Linked DNA regions of Canis lupus familiaris. Each later gene encodes a partner of the first gene's protein in a complex. Links are inferred from orthologs where the notes say so. Each region holds a gene or a part of one and is shown in the gene's direction. Other genes may lie near its edges. The genes, in order: MALT1 and BCL10.

The links.
Region 2: the proteins of MALT1 (region 1) and BCL10 are in contact, whole or in part, in a cryo-EM structure (PDB 6GK2), measured with the Homo sapiens proteins. The link is inferred for Canis lupus familiaris from reciprocal best matches to the Homo sapiens genes MALT1 and BCL10. Residues at the interface, in NP_006776.1 of Homo sapiens: Asp46, Gln47, Ala48, Pro49, Trp54, Arg55, Leu74, Glu75, Ser78, Leu79, Val81, Leu82, Glu83, Pro84, Glu85, Gly86, Pro88; in NP_003912.1 of Homo sapiens: Leu13, Lys17, Val83, Arg87, Asn93, Gln97, Thr100, Leu104, Arg107, Asn108, Leu111.

What each region holds. Positions count from the first base shown.
Region 1 is NC_049222.1:17,511,140-17,519,251, reverse strand, and holds the start of MALT1 (mucosa-associated lymphoid tissue lymphoma translocation protein 1), read left to right. Parts: upstream 1-3,057; coding exon 3,058-3,353; intron 3,354-8,112. UniProt on the Homo sapiens protein: Protease that enhances BCL10-induced activation: acts via formation of CBM complexes that channel adaptive and innate immune signaling downstream of CARD domain-containing proteins (CARD9, CARD11 and CARD14) to activate NF-kappa-B and MAP kinase p38 pathways which stimulate expression of genes encoding pro-inflammatory cytokines and chemokines.
Region 2 is NC_049227.1:63,254,067-63,262,418, forward strand, and holds the start of BCL10 (B-cell lymphoma/leukemia 10), read left to right. Parts: upstream 1-3,975; 5' UTR 3,976-4,242; coding exon 4,243-4,299; intron 4,300-8,352. UniProt on the Homo sapiens protein: Plays a key role in both adaptive and innate immune signaling by bridging CARD domain-containing proteins to immune activation.

The sequences.
Region 1 (8,112 bases):
TGAAATAACATGTTGTCCTGGCATTTTTAGTTAGAGTACCATCTAAAGTCAAATTCTGTAAAGGAAAAGAAACTTGTGAGTCAGTTTCCAGATTTGTATTTTGAAGATTACATCAACGGATTTCCATAGAAAGAAACCACAAGCTTCTTGCAGATTGTCTGGATTCACAATGATCTATGTCACTTTTAACAAATGAGGAAGAGCTCCCAAGCATATCATCTAAAGATATGCATGAACTTTGAAGGTGCATTTAAAAGCCAGATCTCCACTCTCCATTTTACTCCTATCTGCGTATGATTGCAATGGTTAGCATAGGAAAGGAAGCGGAATTACTGCTTATTACTTTGTTCCCAAAATTAATGTGGCAGTTTTGAGAGTACTAATATACCCTGCATCTACTTCTCCGAGACACTTTTTATATGTATACATTATTTTTTCTCATTTCATCCTCACAACGTCATTTGAAGCAGGTACTATTATCTTCTGCTTTTTACAGACGTAGAAATTGAAGCTGAGAGGTTAAAGTAACTTGCCTAAAGTCATGTCTCTAATAAGTGGCAGCATCAACATTCAAATTCAGGGCTAATTCTAAAGGTCATAATTTTCCCTATTAAACCATCATGCCCCTTAAGAGAACCACAGGGGGTGAAATTACATAATAAAAATGTTAATATTTGATTAAGAGGAGAAAAAGACCAATCGTAAGATGTAATGTCAGTCCATGGCAGAGGTTGGAGGGTGGTGGGTGGGGTGACTGAATAGATTATAAAACTGCAAGGTAGGTAGGAGGCACCGGGCTGGCTCAGTCAGTAGACCATGGCATTCTTGATCTCGAGGTTGTGAGTTCAAGCCTCACGTCGGGGGTTAGAGCCTACTTAAAAAAATAAAACGGGGGCAGCCTGGGTGGCTCAGTGGTTTAGTGTGGCCTTCAGCCCAGGGCGTGCTCCTGGAGACCCAGGATCGAGTCCTACGTCGGGCTCCCTACATGGAGCCTGCTTCCCTCTGCCCGTGTCTCTGCCTCTCTCTCTCTCTCTCTCTCTCATGAATAAATAAATAAAATCTTTAAAAAATAATAAAATAAAATAAAACAAAATTTCAAGGTGGAAAACAGGACCCAGAGTAGAATGAAATGTGGGAGGCAGTCCTGCTGGCAGGAGAAGAGTGGGTGAGGAGGACATGGGAGGGGATGGACACTGTCAGTATCTAGCTGAGCTATGTTGGATAAAGAAGCACCTGATCAAATTAGGAAGGATTCCCAGGGTGAATAAGATAGATGTGCCGAATAAGATAGATGTGCATTTGACCCCCAGGCACATTTGAAAAGCTGCATAAGCAACGTTGAGCACATAGCAGACTTAGAGAAAAGAAGCCGGTTGAATCCCAATTTTAAAAGACTAGTTGACTAATAAAGACTAGACCAGTAAAAACTAAAAGACTTGATTTCCATAACTGGCCCATGCAAGCTAATAGATTGTCCTATATGTCCGATGACTAAGAACAAAACAGGGAGGCACCAAGAAGTGTTCGGGAAAGGTTATCAAGTCAAGCTGAGTATGAAACAAGCTTTTGCGTTTGTAAAGATAAAAACTAGCATTTGTCACCTACTATGTGACAAGCAGAGTTAGGTGCTTTAGGTACATCATCAGCTCCCTTAATTCTGGTAACAAGCTTATACACACTACTGTGTCTTCGGTCCCATTTTAACAGGTGAGGCAGAGAGTTAAGTAACTTATTCAAGGTCATAAAACTAGAATCCAGCAGATCTTTCCGGATCTAAAGGCACTTGGCCGTTGCATTCTCTGAACTCTGCATTTACACCGGATGAAAAAAAGTATAGCGATTGCTTGTGCTTAACGTGATGGGAGACTGCAGGGATCAACTACCTCGCCAGAAGGCTGCAAGAGTTGGGTACAGGAAATCCTGCTGCCCTGTGTGATGAAAAACCTAATGGCACCAGAAATTGGGGGGAGGGGGGCAATCTGGCTGTGGTCGCATTTCATAAGTTGCTTGCTTTTGCCCCAGGCTACTCCACAGTCTTCAATGGGGGGGCAGTCTGACTCGGAGGAAACCAGACCATTCCTGCTAAAAACAATCATTTGCAAGATCTGCCATCCAGTTAAGAAAAAAAAAAAGTGTAGGCACAGATTTCGAGCAAATTTCCATTAGGTATCTGATGTCTAGGAACCACTTCCCTTAGCAATGCCTACACATCAAACCCTAAACGAGGAAGCCTCCCCTGAGGTTGCCCAACGCCGCTGCGGGTGGCGCCGCGGGCCGCACCGAGTCCCTGAGTCAGCTGAGCGCGGCCGGGCCGGCGCTGGGGAGCCGGGCGCCCTCCCCGCGTCCCCCGAGCGAGGCAACCCTCCTCCCACGGCCTGGGAAGCCCCGACGCCGCGGGCGCCCTCGCCGGAGCCCAGCCGCCCGGGCGCAGCCTCCACCGCCTCCTCCGCCGGCGGCAGCCACCCGGTCCTTCCCGCTCAGCCCCGACCCCACCTCCCCGCCCCGGAGCCGCGCGTCTCAGCCCCGCCCAGGCCCCGCCCCCTCGGCGCTGCACCCGGGCCTAGCGCGCAAGGAGTGGCCCCGCCCAGGCCCCGCCCCGCCACAGGCCCCGCCCCGTCGGCGCAGCGCCCGGCCTAGCGGGCAGGGAGTGGCCCCGCCCCAGGCCCCGCCCTCTCGGCGCCGCGCCAGGTTCCCGCAGCCGCGTGCGCGGGGGGCCGGCCCCGCCCCAGCCCAGGCCCCGCCCCGGCCACGCCCCCTTGACGCAGCACCAGGTTCCCGCAGCCGCGCGCACAGGGGGGCGGCCCCGCCCCGCCCAGGCCCCGCCCCGCCCCATCCCAGGCCCCGCCCCATCCCGGCCCCCGCCCCCGGCGCAGCAGGCGGGGCGGGGCGCAGCGGCCGGCGGCCCCGGCAAAGCTGTGTCGGCGGGGCGGGCGGGCGGCGGAGCTTCCTCCTCGGAGAGCGGTGCGGCGCGGCTGGGCTCGTCCTTCCGCCCCTGCCTCCGCGGCGCCGGGGCGAGCGAGGGGGCGAGCGGAAGGCGCGGCGGAGCCGAGGCCGGCGATGCGGCCGGCGGGAGGCGCGGCGCTCGCGGGGTCGCTGTGCGGGGAGCTGCTGCAGGCCCCGCCGCAGGCGCCGCAGGCCCCGCAGGCCCCGCAGGCCCCGCCGCCCCCGGGCTCGCAGCCGCCCCCGGCCGCGCCCTCGGGGCCGCCGCTCCCCGCGCCGGGCGGCGCGACCCTCAACCGCCTTCCGGAGCCGCTGCTGCGGAGGCTCGGCGGGAGCCTGGACCGAGCGCCCGAGGGCCGGGGCTGGAGGAGGCTGGCCGAGGTGGCGGGGAGCCGGGGGCGCCTCCGGCTCAGGTGAGGGCGGGGCGCGGGGCGGCGGGGGCGGCGGGGGCGGGGAGGCGGGCGGGCCGGGTCGCCTGCAGGGCCCGCGGGAGACGCCGTGGGGGGAAAGGCCGAACCTGGGACTCGCCGCCTCCCTCCATCAGACCGACCTCCCGGGGCCCCTCCTCGCGGGCCCGAGGGACGGGGCTGGACGCAGCACGGCTGGCCTCTTCCCGGGCCCGGAGCTGCCGCCGTGGGGTGTCGGGGCTGGTTTACACCCGGCAAGTACCGAGGACCCCGGAGGGGGCTGCCCGCGCGTTCCGGCTGCCGCCCGCATACCCGGGGTGGACACCGAACACGAAGCGTTAGGTATGCTGACTTTTTAAAAAAGAGTAATCCGTTACATGTTCACAGAAGTGACGTGTTCTTCTTTTTTGGAAAAAGAGGCTTTTCCAAAACAGGCAAAAAGTAGTTAGACAAGAGGCATTGCTTTAGGTTGGGAAGGTCCCTTGCACGTCGGGTCCCTGTTCCGTGTTGCTGCCTTCAGTGGGCCGCGCTGTATCCCGGGCCCTGTGACGCCGGATGCTCCAAAGTGTACGTTTCCTCCGAAGGTAGATGAAAACGGTAAATAGCATCTCAGTGTTCCTGTGAAAGACCGTTTTGACCTTGCGGTGCCAGGGTCCCAGGAACTGCACGAGAGATGCCCAGACCACACTTTGAACCGCTCCTCTATACCGTTGTTGGGATTTTGGTCTGCCTGGGAATCCCTGAGAAGTTCTTGTAACTCCTTATGTGACTAAACCTTGGCTTGTACTGTGATTATTTCTACGCTTTTGATGAACTCCTTGAGAACAGGAGGCATCAGTGAAGATTCTGTGTTCTATGCGTGGAACCTGTCTTAGGCACTTTGGAGTAAATACTTTGGAAAGGGGAGTCATTCATTCACAGTTATGTTTGTTTTCAGGGCCTATTATGAGCTGGAAGTTCCAGAGGATAAAAAGATGACAAATATTTTATTCCTATTCACAAGGGCCTACCTAGTAATGAACTGTTCTTCTGGGGCATTCACAAATAACATGTCCAAAACGCTGTGTGGGATGTAATGATAACAATAGGTTATCATCTATTGAACACTTAGAGTATACTAACGCACTAAGCATCTCCATGTGTTATCTACTTTAACCCTCACAACAACCTCGAGTTTCAGAGTTTGGGGTTAAACTGGGGTCATGATGATTTAGGGTTCTTTGGCCACATGTGAGGTTGGAATTAAGAAGTGGTAAACTCACAAAGTTGAGCGGACAGATGGCACAATTTTCTTTTCCGGGGGAAAAAAAAAGAAAACAAAAAACATGCTTCTTTTAGGGAGAGGTGGTTGTGCAAAGAAAAATCCAAAATACTATTACATTAGGTCCATAGGTTTCTGAATTTCTAGACTTAACAACAGAAAAGTGTTTTCTTCTTTGGAGATCAGATCATCAGATCTGGGATTGGTTAGTTTGTGATTCGTATGCTAGTTAGAGAAGGCTCTGGACTCTGCTGAGGAGGGCCTGGGAATGAGGACTCCTAATTTGGCAGTGGAGGAAAGAAAAGAAAGGAAGGCCCTGCGGCTGAAGAAGCTTGGCTGATGGAATCAGAAAGTGATGGATACCTGACATCACACACTCAGTGTTCCTCCCCAAGCCTCCAGTTGGGTTTTCCCAAAGGCTACAGAATGGTTCGTTTGGCAAACTAATAGAAAAGTCTGAGGCCACATCTCTGATGAAGGTAGAATGGAGAGAAGGGCAGCAGCCTCGCAAGGGGTGACAGGCAACAAAGTGCATATATTCCTAGAACCCGGCAAATTCCAGGGTGGGAGGTCTGAAAAGAAACGGATAGGGAAAAGAAAGAAAGAAAGAAATAGATGGGATTTCACCAGACTTCCAGGTTGGTGAAGATTAGTTCAGAATAGGTGAGTGATGGTGGGAGTGGGGGCACCCCTGCAGGCTGGGAAATAGGAGAACATTAAAGTCATATACTTAACAAAATCAGAATTAAGTTGGCATAACAGAAGGAAACTAAGGGGCTGGAGAGTGACATCTGAGGAGCAAGGTAAGCTGGGGACGCTTTCTCTATGTAAAACCAAAAAAAAAGCTATTTCAGAGTAATTTCATACTGGTGCTAGAAGAGCATCTATGATAGCAGAAAATCCCAAAGATATTTTTCTCTAGTGTGAGATCAAGGAATTAAAGTGTGACGGTCCAAGTGGACCACAGTTCCCATAAGGATGTGGACTTTTTCCCTAAGGTCTTCACAGGTTGCCTGTTGTTTCTTTCCACTTTTTTTCTGACTCTATACATGTTTCCTCAAATAGATGAGAATTTACTGAATCAACCACAAGAGCCCATCCTGAACGGTCTCTCACGGATTAGGAATAAATGTCTTCATATGATTCTGGGTGACTCAGAGTCCATCCAGGTTTACGCTTTAGTTTCCCACGACCGTGTGCACACGGAAATGCCCTAATTACAACCTCAGCCCTAATTCCACTCCTAACCACCCTGCTACTGAACAGCCTTTGCTGTCAGTGCAGCTAGATGCAGGTTCCGAGTGTCTTGGCCAAGCTACGTAAACTGTGTGCTGGTGTGGGACCTCGGAGCCCGGGAGGTGCCAGAACTTTCAGGAGGCTCTCCTGCTGCCTGGACTCCATGCAGAGAGCTTGGAAGGGGGCTGTGGGATGCGGGCCAAGGAGACCCATCACAGCGCACCTGCTGCACAGAAGGCGTCTTCAGCTGCAGATTTCTGCCCTCACACAGTTATAAGCATGAGAACCTGTGAAAAGCTGAAACAAATTTCTCCTGTCTCTTCAGTGTCAGAAATTTGGAGTGCTGTAGGGTTCAGGCCTTGTGTCTCCACCTACACGTCCTCACCCAGTCCCCTTCTTGGTGTATCCTTAAGTCTCAGGGTGGATTACTCGGTTCCTATCTTTGCTTTGAACCCCCTGGATTCGTTAAGCGTATCACCTCCAAAACTTAGCACATCTTCCTCCACAGCCCTCTTTCTCATGCAGTTTTCTTTATCTCGGGAAATAGCGACTGCACCCCTCCGATCGCTCAGGCCCAAAACTTCACCATCAGCCCCGACTCTGCTTTTACACAGCACATCCGTGTTATCAGCGACCCTCGTCTGCTGTACCTCCTGTGCATCCGGAGTCCAGCCTCTCTCACCTGGATCATTCCAGGAGCCGCCTGCCTTCTCCCACTTTGCCCCTGCCCCCAGGCTGTTCTCAGCATGGCAGTGAGAATTATTACTACTTTTAAAAGGTTCAGTCGAGTCTTCCCCTTCTTCTGCTCAAAACCCCTTAACTGCTTTTCTGTTTCAGGATAAAAACACCAGTTAGCTAACCACCTATCTCTTGGACGCTGTTGTCTTCCTTTCTTTGCTCTCTGCACACTTGCTTTCTCGCTTTTGACTTGAACACGGGAGGGTCTTTGTACTTGCTGTTTCCTCCATCTGAGATAGTCTCCACAGGTGAACTGACTCCCTCCTTTACCCCTTCAAGTGTTTGCTCACAAGTCACCTCCTTCAATGAGGTCTTAAGTGATCACATTATTTAAAAACACCCAGTACGTCCACTCCAGCATTACTTATTCCCCTGCTTTGCCTTTTTTTGCTCCAGAGCACTTATGACCATTGGATGGACACACACACACACCTCTCTCTTTGCCTGCCAGTGCATGTGTGTGTGTATATATATATGTAGTAGTAAAATCCAGGCTGATAGAGAATTTTGTCTTGTTTGCTACAGTATCCTAAAGAACCTAGAAAAAATGGTTGGCCTATTTTAGATGACTAATGAGTAGTTGCTGAGTTAATGAATAGAGATTTCAAAGAGTAAATGTTCCAAGAAGAGAAGCAAAAGAACCTGAAAGCGGGGTCATGATTTGTACCCTAAGGGATGCATGATGTGTTTTATTTGGGTATATATTTTTTTATAGTGAAGATAAATAACTTTTTCTTAAAAGCAAAACCCGTTTGTTTCGGTAATAGTCTTTCAACTTAAATGAGAAATTCCAAATTAGGGCTGATAGAAACCACTTCAAAGTATAGTCTTACAGGAATGTAACTAAAAAAGGAAAGAAACGGTCTGGGTATGTAGAGGCATCATCTTAGCTGAAAGCCAGGGCCCGTGCGGAAAGTCAGTAAAAAAGGAAAGGAGATACAGAATCTTGTTTTTCTCCCGTGCCTCTTGTATTGGAAATTTTTGTCTACTTCAGCTTGGCCTCTTTCTTCATTTGGAAGAAAGAAGTCAAACTGTTTTTCTCTTTCTTCTGTATCAGTATAAACATCAAAGCATCACTTGGCTGCATTTGATGAGATGGCTTCTGAATTTTATGTACCAGATTCTGACTACCTTTCTGAATCATAAAATATATATATATATATATATATCATACAGCATCCTTGTTTTTATAGATCTTAATTCTAATTATTTAAAAGAATAGTAATCCTTCTATTGTCTCTAATACTGGTTTCTTGACCTGGGTGTTACAGGAACTAATGAAAGGAAATTTTACGGAATAGAGGACCAGCAGGCATCCATCCCCAGCTTTCATTGTTGCTGTCATCATAGTCACCATTATTCCATAAAAGAAAGGACACTTTAAAAATATAGGAAAGACCATCTTGAAGTAAAAGGCGGTCATTATAGTCCTTATTTTTATCATTTTACCGTGGACTTCAGATTATGCTGCCACTAGTCTACAGTCCAGATTTTGGGAACAGTTGACCTATGTAATGATGAGTCACATTT
Region 2 (8,352 bases), on another chromosome or scaffold:
AACTTTCATGGTACATTTATCAGACGCCTTGTATTTCACAGTAGGAGACAGATGGAATCCCTATAACTTGATGTGGGGGGTGGGGGAGGGGAAGAGGTGAAATTATTGCAAGGCAGGCAATGGACAGGGCTGTTTCTTGAAAAGGTGCCCAATCCTCATTACAGCCTGACCATGTGGTTGAGTAGAGAAGTGGAAATGTGTCTGCTCATGAAGTATGGTGCACCAGAAAAAAAGTGGGCCTGGATGCTGCAAGACCTGCCCTGAACCAGCTCCGTGATGAGGCACATGACATTCCGATGTGGCTGCTTTGACACAGACTGTCCACTTGGGAACGTGGAGACATGGCGTCAAAAACAAAAAGGTTAACCTCTTGGCTTTGAAAAATCCCTAAGCTCCTCACTCAGTCCCTCTCAACCCCTGATCCTCTCTCTGAACCCCCACATAGCAGACACTTTACCTTTTAGCTGAGTAAATGAATAAAGAACTGCACACTGAGCACAGAATGAGGTTGGAAGTGTCAGAAATGAAACAATGGTCAACAATGAGGAAAAAGTCAGATGTATGGCAAGAGTCATGAAAGAAGTCTCAAGAATAAGAGGTGTCTGACACTAACATTTGGTGATCAATAGTCGTAACAGAAGGCAATGTGGCAAAGTATCAACATTCGCCAAACATTGGCAGTGAATATAGATGTTTGTAATATTTTTCTCCACAGTGTGGTGTGTTTTAAATGTTTTGTTTAAAAAAAGAACAATCTGGGTGGCTCAGTTGGTTGAGTGTCTGGCTCTTGATTTCTGCTAAGGTCATGATCTCCGTGTTGTGAGACTGATCCTCATGTTGGGCTCTGTGCTGGGAGTGGAGTCTGCTTAAGTCTCTCTCTCTCTCCCCCCTCCCCGCCCCCCAGGTGGCTCAGCGGTTGAGCATCTGCTTTTGGCTCAGGACATGACCCTGGGGTCCCAGGATCAAGTCTCACATCAGGCTTCCTGCATGGAGCCTGCTTCTCCCTCTGCCTGTGTCTCTGCCTCTGTCTCTCTGTGTGTCTCTCATGAATAAATAAATAAATTAAAAAAAAAAAGATTCTCTCCCACTCCCTCTACCCCTCATCCCCACCCCCCTACCTGCCACTGCCCCCCTCCACGGGTACACACACATGCACATGTGCTCTCTCTCTAGAAAAAAAAATAAAATAAAAATAAATAAATAATAAAAAAGAACAATAGACCAACTCCTAATAGCTACATTGAAATGGTTGTGTCAAGTTGGCATCGTTGAAATCACTTTACTTTAAGGGATGCTGTATCCTCTCCTTCATCAGCGGAGCTTGTATTGTTGTGGCAAAACAGTTCATTTCCACACACACAGATGGACCAAGACTTTGGAGAGAAAGTATGGAAATATATATATGAAAACACATTTCCTTGGGCTCTGTACTCCTGCTCCTGAGAATTTGTGCAGAGGAAATGATAACTCAAAAGAAAAAAGGATGGAGAACATGTAGATGAATAAATGGGAGACAAACTGTTTATAACAATGACAAAGTGAGAAGAACTTAAGGTGACCACTAGGGAGTGCTCAGCACTGCTCCCACTCTGGTCACGCCACCCCCATCTCCCCCTAGATCCCTGGGGTAGCCTCCAGCTGTCTCTGCTTCTACTTTTACACCTACAGTCTACTCTCAGCAGCCAAAGGTAGCCCTTTTAGAAGGAAATGAAATCGCATCCCCACTTCTCTCCCAAAGGTTCCCACCACCCTTGCTGCTTCTAGCCCTGACTTGAGCCACCACCTCCCAGACCCTGAATTTCGGGAACAGCACCCTAACTGGTCTCCCTTTTTCCATCTTCCTTCTCCTCAAGGCAACAGTGAAACTGTTCCTTTTTCAAATCATAAATCGGATCATGTCACTCCACTGCTCAGAACCCTCCAGTGGCTTCCCCTTTGACTCAGAGTACACCCATATGACTCAGTAAAATCAGGTTACACATTTACAGTAGCACACAAGGACCTCATCTCCTTCCCAGTCCCACTGGATATTTTTCATTGGCTGTTCCCTCTACTCATAATGTTCTTTCTCCAAATGTCCACATGACATTACCTCACTCTCTTCAAGTGGTAGCTTAAATCTCCTTTTCTCAGTGAGATCTTCACAAACTACCCTATTTTAAACGTTACCACTCCAGTACTGAGTGATGAATAATGTATAGAATTGTTGAATCATTATATTGTACACTTGAAACTAATATAACACTCTGTGTTAATTATAGTTGAATAAAAATATTTTTTTTTACTGTTAACATCCCATATACCCTTATCCTACTATCCTGTTTTGTATTTTCTCTTAGCATTTGTTATCTTCTAACAGAATAACTTTACATATCATTTTCCAAATGTCTATTTGCTCTGCCCTGAAACACATGTATGCTGGACTTTAAACTCCAGGAAGAAATAAATTTTTACCTATTTTGTTCATAGCTGTTTCCCCAAACCCCAAAACCGTGTCTGGTGCATAGTTGACATTCAATAAATATTTGTAAAATGAAAGAACAAATGGTTAAGTAAATTGGGTTAAACCAAGATGAGGGAAGATTAAGCAATCAGATAAAACTGTACTGTGGATCAATGTAGGAAAAGACACATGATGTAATGTAAATGTTAGAAGCTTATGATGGAGCCCGAAGCTGCTAAGAGACATCTGTGTGGCTTTGGCAACATTGTCCTTTTCTGGTTCTTTTGCTTTCCCTTCCTTTAAATGTTAGAGTTCTCAAGAGGTATCCCACTGGCTGGTTCTGTGGGTAGAGCATGTAACTCTTGATACTGGGTTGTGAGTTCAAGCCTCATGTTGGGTGTAGAGTTTACTTTCAAAAAATGTTGGACTTCCCAAGTTTGTCTTTGTCTATCTACCTCTTGTCCTGTCTACCCTCACTGCTTCAAATACCACGGAGTTTATTCAGCATGTTGTCCAAACCATTGTCTTGGGCCCATTGTCTTGTGTTTTGAACTTCTCATCCACATTATTCATTCTTTTTTTAAAAAAAAATATTTTATTTAGTTATTCATGAGAGACACACAGAGAGAAGCAGAGACAGAAGCAGGCTCCTTGTGGGAAGCCCGATCCTGGACTGGATCCCAGGACCCCAGGATCACCACCTGAGCCAAAGGCAGATGCTCAACCACTGAGCCACCCAGGTGTCCCCATTCTTCATTATTCATGTTGTTCTGTATACACTTCCATTAGTAGTTAGATACCATTCTGGGCGTAGTTGTCTGCTTATCAGTCTCCCCCATAAAAATAGAATTCTTCTAAGATAAGATGACTAGACATATTAGTAAGGACTCAATAAGTGTTTGGGTAGTAAAAGATCATCATAAACGGAGTTCATACTGTATGCCAAGTACCTCTGAGAACCTTACATATATAGTATCATTTAATTCTCACAGCAGCCCATAAGGGATGTAAGGTAGACATCCCTTCATCACACAGATGGAACAAATAAGGAAACAGGATCATAAAAAAGTGACCAAAAAGCATGCTGACGTTAAATCGAGTGCTAAAATGAAAGGATTATAGGCGGTTTTTCTCTTTCAAAAATGTCTTGACAAAAAAAAAAAAGTCTTGACTATTGCAGCGGAGCTGCCCGCGGGCCGCGTCCGAGCAGGCGGGTATCTAACCCCACAGCTTCAGTAGGTTAAGGCAGCGGCCGGAAGCTGCGGGGCGGGGTCTGGGGAAAGGGGAGGAGCCCGGGGGGGACGGTCCGGCAGAGACCCGCCTCCGCCGGCGAGCGGTCCGCAAAGGCGGGGCCTGCGGCGGGAGGAGCCTCGGGCCCCACCCACGGAAACGCTCCCGGCAAAGGACGCGCGGGGGCTGTGGGCGGGGCCGGGGGCGGGGCCAGGCTCGGGCCCCGGGCCGGCAGCGATTGGCTCCCGCTGGGAGGGGGCGGGCCCCACGGCCAGCCCCGCCTCGTCGGGGGGCGGGGCCTGCGCCGGCGCCTCCGGGAGAGGAAGGAGCGCAGCGCGGAGCCCGCTGGGGGACGCCCAGGTCTGCGGCGCCCTCGGCCCCAGAGGCGGAGCCGGAAGCTCTACGGGCTCGTCCGTGAGCCTCTGTTTTGGAAGCGGCAGCCCTCTTCCTCTCGACCCGCTCCGCCTGCCCTTGTCGCCGCTTCACCCGGAGGCCCGAGTCCCCTGCCTGGCCGGGCGGTGCCGCCGCAGCTCCCGGACCCGGAAGAGGCGCTACCCCGCTCCTCCGCCATGGAGCCCGCTGCGCCGTCCCTCACCGAGGAGGACCTGACCGAAGTGAAGAAGGACGTGAGTAGCCAGCCTTGCCCGGGCGCCGCCGAGGGCCGGGGGTCGCGGGTGGGCAGGGGCAGGCCCGGCCGGGCGGGCGGGCGAGGAGAGCGGAAACGCGGAGTGGGAGTCCGAGCCGGAGAGGAGCAGGAGCCTGCGGGTCCGAGGGGCTCCAGGTCCGGGCGCTGCTGCACGACGGCGCCCGAGGGACCTCGGTGGAAGCGACCCCTCGTGACCTGTTAATCCACGTTTAGGTCGCTGGGTTCTGAAACCCTGTCCAGTGGAGCGTTTCACCGCACTCAGCTTCTTGCCGACTCTCCACTCCTCCCCGGGGATCTCTACCCCCCACCCCTGCGCTTTGGGGCCGCGTCGTCGGGAGTCGACTGCCCAGGTTCCGCCTTGAGTCACACTCCCTAGGCTGCTGGCCCAACCTGGAGCGACAGCTGGACCCGAGAAAGGCTCCAAGCAGTGGAGCAAATATGTGAAACTCTCTTATAAAGGGGGGTTGGGGGAAGCTCAACAGCTGAAAGCACAACCTGGAATTCCCCTAGTAAGCAAACGCCCACATATTTAAATTGGGGGGTGGGTGTAGCCGAAAATTAATTTACAGGTAAATGCTGAAAATATTCAGTACCTAAATTATGCCCTTTTGCTTGGATGCTGCAGAACTGCACAAATCTTAGTACTTATTTGTTGAGGTATCTCGTTTCTTTTGCTTTTAATTACTTGTTTTGCCACGTGAGACCTGTAGGAGTACCCCCAAAATACTTCGTGTAATTTCGAATTAAAACCAGAAACCCAACAGAAAATGAGTTCTGCAGCACTTAATACAGAATTATATTTGTGAACTGGACAAGACAGCAGCTTTTTTAGATGTTCATCTACCTTAGATGCTTACCCCCTTTTCTCCCTTGAAAGGTTTATTACACTGCACTCATAATTACATAATGACAATTGGAATGACTCATTAACAGAAGGAAACTGGATATGACAGGGATTTGTGCCTTAGTTTGCTCATTCAGCGATACAGATGGAGCGCTTAGTATATGGAAGGCACTGTCCTTGGGCCTGGAAAGATACAAAAAAAAAAAAGATAATCTGGCCTCTGCTTTATATTCTAGTCGAGATAAAACCGGGACATTGATAACTACCACAGAATAAATGAGTGTTGTCTTATATAAGATTGGTGCCAGTGGAACCATGCACTTCAAGAGCTAAGCCTGTGGTGTTCCAAAATCTTTGTCACATAATTTGCAATGTTCCCATTTAATCTTTACAGCAGTGCTGTGAGAGGTTACAGTTGGGCATAAATATAAAACCTGTACACAAACACAGTTGTGAAGAGTGTCTTCCAGGTCTCTTTTTTATTTATTTATTTATTTATTTTTTCTCTTTTTTTTTATATATTTTTTCATTTATTCATGAGAGACACAGAGAGAGAGAGGCAGGCAGAGACACAGGCAGAGGGAGAAGCAGGCTCCATGCAGGGAGCCCGATGTGGGACTGGATCCCAGGTCTCCAGGACCACGCCCTGTGCAAAGGCAGGCACTAAACCATTGAGTCATCCAGGGATCCCCAGTCTTCAGGTCTTTATTCACTTTTTTTCCCTGTCAGTTCATTGATACTATCCATCTCCATGATTTCAATTTACAGCTATCTCAGCAATTCATAATCTTGGGGAATCATGAAGGGGTCTCAGGAGGTCTATGAAAAAAATGTATGTGCACATTTTTTTTCTTAGAGATTTTTTTCATGCTATTTTCAAAATGGTTGATGACCTCAGTCTTAAAATTATCATACAAATATTTGCACTTCCTTCTTTGTCAACTCTAGATGCTTGTTTCCAAATATCTACTGGAAATTTACTTTTATGTTCTGTACACTCCTCATCTTGTCAGAAATTGAACTTTTTATCATCCCTTCCCCAAAGCTGCTTGCTATATTCTCTGTCTTGATGGATAGTATGCCACCACCCCAGCCTTCTGGAAAGTCCCACTCTTTCATTATGCTCCTCCCTTCCCCCTGCCCCCATCAACTTGTTTACCTCATCTTTTGGATTACATGCTGCTGTGAGGTATGCATGGTTCTAACAATTCGAAAATTAGAAATTAAGACGCAATCCCAGTTTGAAAAGAGCTTAATTTCCTGGAAGGAGGGAAACAGACATAAATTAATAATTGCAAATTACAGAATAAGTGCAATGAATTTTGCATTCATCTAGAACACTATCTACTTGACACTCTGCTAAGTGCAGGATATACAGAGTTGAACAAAACAAATGTGGTTTTTGCCTGCTTCAAACATATAGGTCATTAAGGTTGAAGACAAATATATGCTTACAAATTATGCTAAGTACTATGAAGGAGACAAACAGGTATTGAGACAGTAGCAGGGGGAATCAACTTGACATAGGACGGTCAGGGAAGGTTACATTTAAAGTGGTTGCTGAAGAATATAGCAGAACTGGGGCAATAATCCTCTAGGCAGAGTAAGGTTTGTAAAGGAACTAAAACAGGCAAGACCTTGGTGACTTGGGGAAATTGGAAACAGGCAGAGGGTGCTCTGAGAAGTTAGGAAGGTTGGCCTAGAGCCAGATCATGGAGGATTTTACAGATGGTAATAAAGTATTAGGATTTTTCTCAAGTGTAGTAGGGGTCTGCTGAAGAACTATGTTAATATTTTTAATCCCTTTGCCTATTGTATGGACGGAAGGGAGCAAAAGTGAGAAGAGGGAAACTATATTAATTCATGGAATTAATATAGTTAAGAGCTGATGGTGATTTGGATCAGGGGGAAAGCAGTAGAAATGGATGGAACAGGAGGATTCCAGATGCATTTTTGAAATAGAAATGTTAAGATTTGGTGATGGATTGAATTGAGAAAGAGAGTAGAGTCAGACTGGTGAGTGAAAATGTCAGATCAGCAATTAGACCTACAAATCTGAAGATCACAAAGGAGATCCAAGCTGTGGGATTGAGTGAGTTCACCTAGAAAGTTGAGAGCTAGAAGGGAAAAGGGAGATCATAGGGGAGTTTTTTGGTTTTTTTGTTTTTTGTTTTTTGTTTTAAATGAAAGGTCATAGCCACAGAGATGGGAATAGAGCCAGGGGAGTGTGGTATTCACGAAACCAGTATTTCAAGGAGAGGGAGTGGTCAGCTGTGTCCATGCTGCTGAGAGGTAAAATGAAGACAAATGAGGATGAGATTTGACAGTGACGAGGTTCTTGGTGGCTGAGAAGAGTAATGATACAGAATAGAAATGAATTGGGAGATAGGAAGTATAGTTGTGGTATGTAGAAAAGTGAAGTATATGCACAGGGTGCTACAAGGACAGAAGAGAGGAGTGCCTAATTCCTTCTGGGGAGTTTAAACAAAGCTTCCTGAAGGAGGTGACCACTGTGCTGAATCATAAATGATAAATAGGGACTTAGGGTATGAGAAGAGAAAATCAGATAAAGTGACAACATGAAGAACTACACAGTGACAGTTTTAGGTAGAACACAAAGTACCAGGACAGTTAGAGGTGGTGACAGATTAAGCTCCAGAGGCAGGATCCATCCTATGAAGTGCCCTGTCTGCCATTATCAAATAGCTGTTACTTATTGTGTACTGACTGTGTATCAGAGACTGTGTCAAGCCTTCATACTCATTGTCCTACTGAGTCCTTCTAGAGGTTCTGCAGGGTAAGTGTTTATCACTATTTTACAAATAAGGAACCTGAAGCTTAGCTTAAGTTTCTTGCCCCAGTTCTTAAAGAAGTATATGGCAAATTACGATCCAAACTGACATTGGCCTTATTCAAAGCCATACTCTTGACCTCTCTACTATTCTGCCAAAGTTGAGGAACTTTATCTTTTAAGTTGGTGGAACACACTGTTTTAAATTTTTACAAAATTAACTGACAACATTTCAATATTAGTAGAATTCCACTCCAGATTTTCATTTTCTCTTGAAAAATTGGAAGATCTGATAGATGTGTGAAGGAGAAATTTGAGTGGGAGGAAAAAAATGGGAAGTACAGCTAGGTGTCTTGTTTGTTAATAGTCCCTGCAACGTATGACGAAGACCTGAGCTA